2 linked regions of the Rattus norvegicus genome follow. The protein of the gene in region 2 binds, or shares a complex with, the protein of the main gene of each other region. Links are inferred from orthologs where the notes say so. Each region holds a gene or a part of one and is shown on either strand. Other genes may lie near its edges. The genes, in order: Ube2b and Rad18.

The links.
Region 1: the proteins of Rad18 (region 2) and Ube2b are in contact, whole or in part, in a crystal structure (PDB 2YBF), measured with the Homo sapiens proteins. The link is inferred for Rattus norvegicus from reciprocal best matches to the Homo sapiens genes RAD18 and UBE2B. Residues at the interface, in NP_064550.3 of Homo sapiens: Tyr342, Arg343, Lys344, Lys345, His346, Lys347, Glu349, Phe350, Leu353, Val354, Gln356, Ala357, Arg358, Lys359, Gly360, Tyr361; in NP_003328.1 of Homo sapiens: Pro20, Val22, Gly23, Val24, Ser25, Gly26, Ala27, Ser29, Glu30, Gln35, Asn37, Ala38, Val39, Phe41, Gly42, Pro43, Glu44, Glu49, Asp50, Lys54, Leu55, Val56, Leu73, Ser74, Asp151, Ser152.

What each region holds. Positions count from the first base shown.
Region 1 is NC_086028.1:36,748,675-36,751,530, forward strand, and holds the end of Ube2b (ubiquitin-conjugating enzyme E2 B), read right to left. Parts: intron 2,356-2,856; coding exon 2,227-2,355; 3' UTR 691-2,226; downstream 1-690. UniProt on the Homo sapiens protein: E2 ubiquitin-conjugating enzyme that accepts ubiquitin from the ubiquitin-activating enzyme E1 and transfers it to a E3 ubiquitin-protein ligase. In vitro catalyzes 'Lys-11'-, as well as 'Lys-48'- and 'Lys-63'-linked polyubiquitination.
Region 2 is NC_086022.1:147,373,994-147,378,499, forward strand, and holds the start of Rad18 (E3 ubiquitin-protein ligase RAD18), read right to left. Parts: upstream 2,877-4,506; 5' UTR 2,827-2,876; coding exon 2,776-2,826; intron 1-2,775. UniProt on the Homo sapiens protein: E3 ubiquitin-protein ligase involved in postreplication repair of UV-damaged DNA. Postreplication repair functions in gap-filling of a daughter strand on replication of damaged DNA.

The sequences.
Region 1 (2,856 bases), on a different chromosome or scaffold from region 2:
GTTCAGACTACTCCAAAAGCCAGCTCATTTCCAAGCTGGCTGACCCAAGACCCCTCATCTCTCTGTACCTAGCTCCCTGATCTCTAATAGAACGGTGCCATGTGGGCTGCTCTCTGCCAGGCTGACCAAGAAAATGCATCTCAAGCACATACATCTAAATCCCGCGCATTTATCTCGACCTCGATGCCTTGCTTAGTTCTAGCTTCTCACTGTACAAATGTATCCAGAACAAAAAACGGATACTTCTGCATGGTAAAAATTTAGATCTGGTCCGCTACCGAACACAAAACAGGAGTGACTAATAGAATGTTTCTAAGGGCTTTCTCCAAGTCAGATGGGCCAGAGAGGTAGCAAAACTTAACAGCCGGTCCACCATCTGACAACTCTTTTAGCTGTTTATCAAGTACGTACTTGAAATGTTTGTTGTCAAATGGATGAGGAAAATAGCTAAGAATGAATATGGTGCTGACACACCCAGGATGTTGTTTAGTGAAATAGCTGAGCCCCTCTCCCAGGTACCGCTTATTTACTGTCCAAGTCCCCGGAAGGAAGCTGTGGAGCTAAATAAATGGCAGAAGCATCACATGTCTCACCATGTCCCCCAAGTGGCCTAGAACTCACTATGTGTACCAGGCTTAGAACCACGATCCCCACAACTTCCCAAGGATATAAGCAGGTTAGGTGCCACCATTCTAAGCTTAATAAATTAATACTTTTATTTTAATTATGTAGTGTCTGTTTATGTGAATGCCAGTGTCTGATTTAGTGAGAAGCTTTGGATCCCCGGGGAGCTGGAGTTATGAGCAACTGTGAACTGTCTGAAGTGGGAACTGGGAACGGAGATTGGGGTCTTGCAGAAACAGCACATACCAGTAACTCATGAACCCCTTGGGATAACAACTCCTAAAGGAAAGTATCAGTTCTTATCCATCCCAGGTTTAAACTTTGCTTGTAAACAGAAGACATGGTCACTCTGCAACCCAATGTTCCAGCGGAGAGGCCACCAGAGCATGTCTCTAGGAGGGTGGTATGGATGACAAGAAACTCGGGCTCACTGCAATAGCTGTTTCAACTACTACAGAGACTACACAAGAGGTTCAACAGAATTTACTTGTATATTTTCCATTTTCTATACTACTTGAAGGCATAGGATAGCTTCGTCTTAGCTTTCTACAATACTGTGTTTTAAGTCTACCCAGTAAACTAAGAGGCAGTACAACTTGAATACAACTGAGGAGGTGAGAAGCAACTCGGCAGGCCCTGGTGCTCAACAGTTCCGGAATAAACAGGTAGCGCGCAGCCGCATTAAAAGGTAGTTTGCAAATATTCAAGTTACACCGAGATTCCTTCCAAACCTCTGCCTTGCTCAAACCAGCGCACCTGGCCACTGCTAACACCGCGGCACGGCATTTGGTGAATGGTGATGGTTTTACTTTCTTCTTAATCAAAAGCCTGTGGAGGTGCTGCCACGCAGCAGAGTAAGTCAGCTCTGCTCGAGGACGAGGTGCCAATTGTGAAGTCACAAAAGGTACAGTTTACATGAGAAACGCACATTAACAAGTGGCCCAAATACAGAGCTGGACAGAACCAGACCAGTAAGTCTATAGTTACTCAACTGAACTAACATAAGTACATTCAAAATAAAGCCGGAGATCAGAATAGGTTTTAGAATCAAATTTGCAGACTTTCTTGATAAAACAGAAGAGTGACCTTCTGCAGTTGGAAATGAGGCTCTCACCTGGCGAAGAGCAGAGACTTGGCAGTCCCTCCTGCACAGGTAAGGAAATAAGTGACAAAGTCTCTTGCACTGAAGTTATGTATTTTAACAGCTTTACATGTAATATTCATATATAAAAAACTTTAAGTGCTTTTCTCCAATTTAAAAATCTAAAGAATTCAAAAATAAGGCATTCAATATTTGAAAAAAGTACAGATTTACAAAATGTGTATATTCTGTCATGAAAACTCCACACCAACATTATACACTTGGAAAAAAATACAAACAGGATATATTACAAATTTATGCAGCAATAACTTAGTTCACACCATGCAATAAAAAGTACATTAATCAAGATACACAAGCTTTTGTAGGTTCTAAACTGAAGGACTTTTTCTTTTTTCTCTGCAGAATCCTTAAAACCCGTGGCACTTAAAACTTGCTAGCCTTCCTACTGGGAGGTAAATTATACACAACGACGATGGAAAGGTGGACAGACCAGGTGTCTATTATGAGTCATTCCAGCTCTGCTCAACAATGGCCGAAACCCTCTTCTCATACTCCCGTTTGTTTTCCTGATAAAGCTGTGCTGCTTGGCTATTGGCCGGACTGTTTGGATTCGGCTCATCCAACAGAGACTAGAAGACAGAGAGAAGAAAATGCTGCTCAGTTATATGCTATATTAACAGGACTCAGATGAGGACAAAAAAATTACACAGAACAGAATCGCAAAACCTTCTGAAGTGGCATGAAGCAGGTTCCTGTGGCTAAAGGGCATAAGCTTCCAAAACAATTCCGAGTTCCCTTAAGACTTCCCATTTCAAGGAAATCAGCTGACAACACTCATCAGCATATAACAACTTCCTTGCCACGGAATGAGCAGCTAACTCTCGTTAAACTTTAACACCTGTTAAACACCTTAGTCATTTCATTTCATTTATTTTTTAGTGCTAGTATCCCGCCATCTCTCAGTTTTCTAAGACACGTTTTTTTCTGTGCAGCCCTGGCTGCCCTCAAACAGAGATCCGTCTGCCTCTGCTTTCCTATAGCTAGGATTAAAGGTGTGTGCCAGCACTGCCCACCTCCCAGACCCACGTTTTTTGTGGCTGAGGTGTGGGGCATGCTGGGTAAGTACTCCA
Region 2 (4,506 bases):
AAAACAGTTAGCGAAGTCCAGTGTCAGTTTGGACAACAAGCTACACAGAACCAGATTTATTCTTGCAACCTAAAATTGTTTAATTTGTTTAAGAGAAGTACTGACAGTAATTACAGTGGGCTGCTTGATTCCCACGAAATGAAGTATGGGAGGCTAAGGACAGAATCCCGGTCTGGCATGGAAGGACGTGGCCCTGGCTAGCATCCTGAGACACAGGCTTCCCAGCATTGGGGAGGCAGAGGCAGGAGGATCCAAATTCAAGACCAACCTGATCTACATAGTTTCTGGGCAGCCAGAGCTACAGAGTGAAGACTCTGCTCAAAAAGCAAAATAAAACCAAAAACCACCACCACCAAAGTAGAATATATTCTCTATCACATATAAAGAAACTTCTGAAAGGACACAACAAAGCAATCGGTCACAGTCACTAAGGTGAGGGAGCTGGGCAATGAGACAGGACAGGAAGGAGATCTTTTTCACTCTATGTACTTCCTGAACTATATGAATCTATTACTTAAAAACTGCAGAGGCAGGAGATGGTTCAGCACTTAAGAGGACCTGCACTGGATTCCCGGCGCCCATCCATGGCTCACGAGCATCCATGACTTCAGTTCCAGGGGAGGTAACGCTCTCCTGTCTCCATGGGCACCAGGCACGAATGCAGTGCATGTACATACAAGTAGGTAAAGCACTTAAGGCACAAAATAAAAGATCATTCTTTAGAATAAATAACGTAAATGAAAGCAAATAAAACTATGGGAGTTCATACTTTTAATCTTAGCACTTCAGAGGCAGGAGCAGGAGGATTCAAAGTTAGAAGCCAGCTTGGGCTAGGCAGTAAGCAAGCTCCAAGCCTAACTGTACCACATATGGAGCCTGTCATAAAACCAAACACAAACAAAAAAGTTGTCATTAACAATCCATATGAAACATTGCATAGCTATAAATCCTGCTTGGGCTGGGCAGTGGTGGCCCATGCCTTTAATCCCAGCACTTGGAATGCAGAGGCAGTGAGTTCTGTGAGTTCTAGGCCAACCTGGTCTACTGAGTTAGTTCTGGGACAGACAGGGCTACAACAAATAAACCCTGTCTCAAAAAAACAACACACACAAAAACAAACAAATAAAACAAGTAATCAATTGAGGAAGGGAAATGTTGAGGTTGTAACAAATGCATTGTGTTTTTTTAAATCTTTTTTTAATTGGTTTTTATTTATTTACATTTCAAATGTTACCCCCCCCTTCCTGGTTTCCCCTCCACAAACCCCCTTCTCTCCCCTGTCCCCCTGCCTCTATGAGAATGCTCCCCGACTGGCCTACCCAGTTATCCCCCTTTCCAGTTTCCCTTCCACAACCCCCTATCCTCTCCTCCCTTCCCCCTGCATCTACAAGGGTGCTCTCCCACCCGCTCACCCACTCCTGCCTCAGCTCCTGCCTTAGCCAGTGTCCTAGCATTCCCCAACCCTGACAGGACCAACCGGCTCTCCTCCCAGTGATACCAGAAAAGGCAATCCTCTTCTACCTATCCAGCTGGAGCCATCGGTCTCCCCAAGATGCATTGTTTTTTAAGAACAGTAAGAAAAAAGACTGCACTCAGAGGCAGAACTAGTTCTGGGACACCAGGGCTATCCAAAGAAACCCCGTCTCAAAAAAAAAAAAAAAAAGCAAAAACAAAAACAAAAACAAAAAAACAAAAAAAAAAACCCAATATCAAAAGCAAAAAAAAAAAAAAAAAAAAAACTGTCATAGGGAAATGTTTACGTTGTAGTAGATACAATGTACCGATTACATGTAGAAGAAAAGTAATGGTAAAGCGTGCACTCAGCGGACAGAGGCACGAGGGCTACTCAATCATTCTTGGTAGAAAGACAAACAAAAACAAAAAACAAAAAAAATCCACGGGATGGGCAGAGGTGATACACATCTTTAATCCCAGAACTCCGGAGGCAGAGGAAGGCAAGCTATCTCGGAGAGTTCAAGACCAGCCTGTTCTACAGAACAAGGCTACACAAAGAAACCCCGCCTCAGAACAAACAAACAAACCCACTAACTGTTATTTAAGTGAGATAATTCAGTATGCAATAATTCCTTAAAACGAAAGGCTAAGCGGTGGGTCTAGGTCCTGGCCTCGGTTTTAAAAAGATGTGAGCCAGGGAGGAGCGCTCAGGTTGCTGGAGCTGGTGGATCTTGAGGTCAGCCTGGTCGACATACCGAACTCCAGGCCACCCAAGGGCTACGGGGTAAAACCTTGTCTCCTACATTAATAAAATAAATAAACATTAAATAGAGAGGGATGCGTCATCATTGAGTCATGCAGGGCACAACAGGCAGGGAAACCGGTTGCAGTGTGTGAAGAACAAGGAGCACTTCTGGACCTCATCCAGAAATGGAAAACCATGGTAAGCAGACCGCCTATTATGCTACTTGATTATAAAAAGTCATCCGATGCAACGTCCACCCAAATCACGAGTGGTGTCACTGTTAACACAGGAGTTCTCGTAGGATGAACTGTCACCATCGTTGACACTGCGTTACAGTGACTTTATCCCGGCGACGCGCTGATTGTGACAGAAACCCAAAACATCCGGTTCGTTAGGGCGGCCACCTTGGGCTCACTGCGCAGGACCGCGGCGCGTTCCCGAACCGTCTCGGGGGTTGGAAACTGAGGCCCGGCGTCGCGAGGCCAGTCAGGATAGGGCCGAGGCGGGGGCGCGCGGACCGGGGCGCTCCGCTCGCACCGACGATGTCCGCACCCCGGCCTTCCCCAGACACTCACCTTCATCATCGCCAACCCCGGAGGCCACCGTGGCTCGGCCAGGTCCTCCATGGTCGCACTTGACGAGACCACCAGCTACCGGCCTGCCACGCAGTTCCTCTACTCGAAATTCCCCGCGCTACAGCGTACGTCAGATACGTGCGGCGCGCTCACAGAGAGCGCACAGAATGCTGGGAGCTGTAGTTCTCGTGCGTTGGGCGTCAACAGCTTTGGAAGACTGAGGAGGAAAAAGAATTCCAAGGCATAGCCTGGAGCAATGCAGGCCTTCAACCCCTTGGACCTCAGGAGAAAGAAGATAATTGAAATATTAAGGGCAGCTTTAGTCTGTCTTGTAAAGTGAGTAAACAAAAGATTCCCGAAGTTGATTGAATATTAGGAAAAAGTCAGAAACCAAATAAAGTCTAAGTTTTGATAGAGAGTTCAAGGTCTAGGCTCACATCTCCCTTCAGGTAGTATTCTCTATAGAGATCTGTCCTGCTCCTTGCAAATATATAAAATTACACTTCTGTCTCAACTCCTCTTTCTGTAAGCATTCACCAGAGCCACATAGAGCCTCTGTTCTTCAGCGATAACCACGGTTAAAAATGGCACTTAGTTCTCAGATATTCCCCACGTATAAGGTCCAGTGTTAGCAAAGAGTATTATTAAATCAGTTTAACAGGAACCCACATTCTTTTTCTATCAAATTACTCCAACTAATTGATAAGCTCCTCATCCTCTTCTAGCTTCCAGGTGATGTCTTAGCACCCTGACCTGTCTCCCGCAAGGTTCTTTTTAGGCTGATTTAACCAGAGCCCCATTATCTAGATGTGGGGCAGCATTCATCCTCTGCCTTCTGTGGGCCTCCATTGCACTAAGTCCCAGGGACCACAAGTTGGTCCAGATGCCACCCAAGACAGAACCCTCTAGCTTGCTGTATCATTGATACCCAGGTGGCCCACACATTCACTGGTTCAGCATGTATGTTTTGAAGACTTACAATGGACCAGGCAGATGAGCTCCCCTGAGAAGTAGGCAGAGAGGTGTGGTTGTTACCAATACTTTAGAGACGTGAAGCCTGAGACCCAACAGGTTAGGGCTTCATTCTTTTGAGTTTTTATCATAAAATGACCTCTGTAATCTGGGCCAATTAATTTTCCCTAGCCTACACTCACCTATGAACTGTGCAACAACGACATGAATAACATTTACGTGATAGTTTACTTATTACAGTAATAGCTAACACATATTAGAGACCACCTGTATTCAAAGCACTACTGTAGCTTTTTTTTTTTTTTTTTACATCTGTGTACTTACTTGGTCTATTCCTGTTCAAGGAAAAGAAAAATGGGTAATTGGTGAAGGGCATTTTGCAGGTAAGTAGAACTTAGGGTGTTGGGCTTCTGAGCATATAAGCTACCACAGAATAGTCTCATAAGAATCTGGTCAAGACAAATCTTTCCAGGTACAGATACAGGAACTGGGTGTCCTAACAGGAAAAAGATTCAGACATTCAGACACTGAATCTAGCAAGCCAGCAACCAGAAGACAAGTGGGAGGATTAGATGTATGATGGATCTGGACCATCCAATCAAATGAAATTGAGTTGGGAGCTGTTGGATAGTTCTAGGAACATTAAGGGGAGTGAGTTGCTGTGCGAAGTTATGGCAATGATAAAAATCACGTACGCTGTAGTTATTCGTTTAGGACCCTTTTTGGATACTGGGTAATTAGATTAACAAGTGGCTGGGT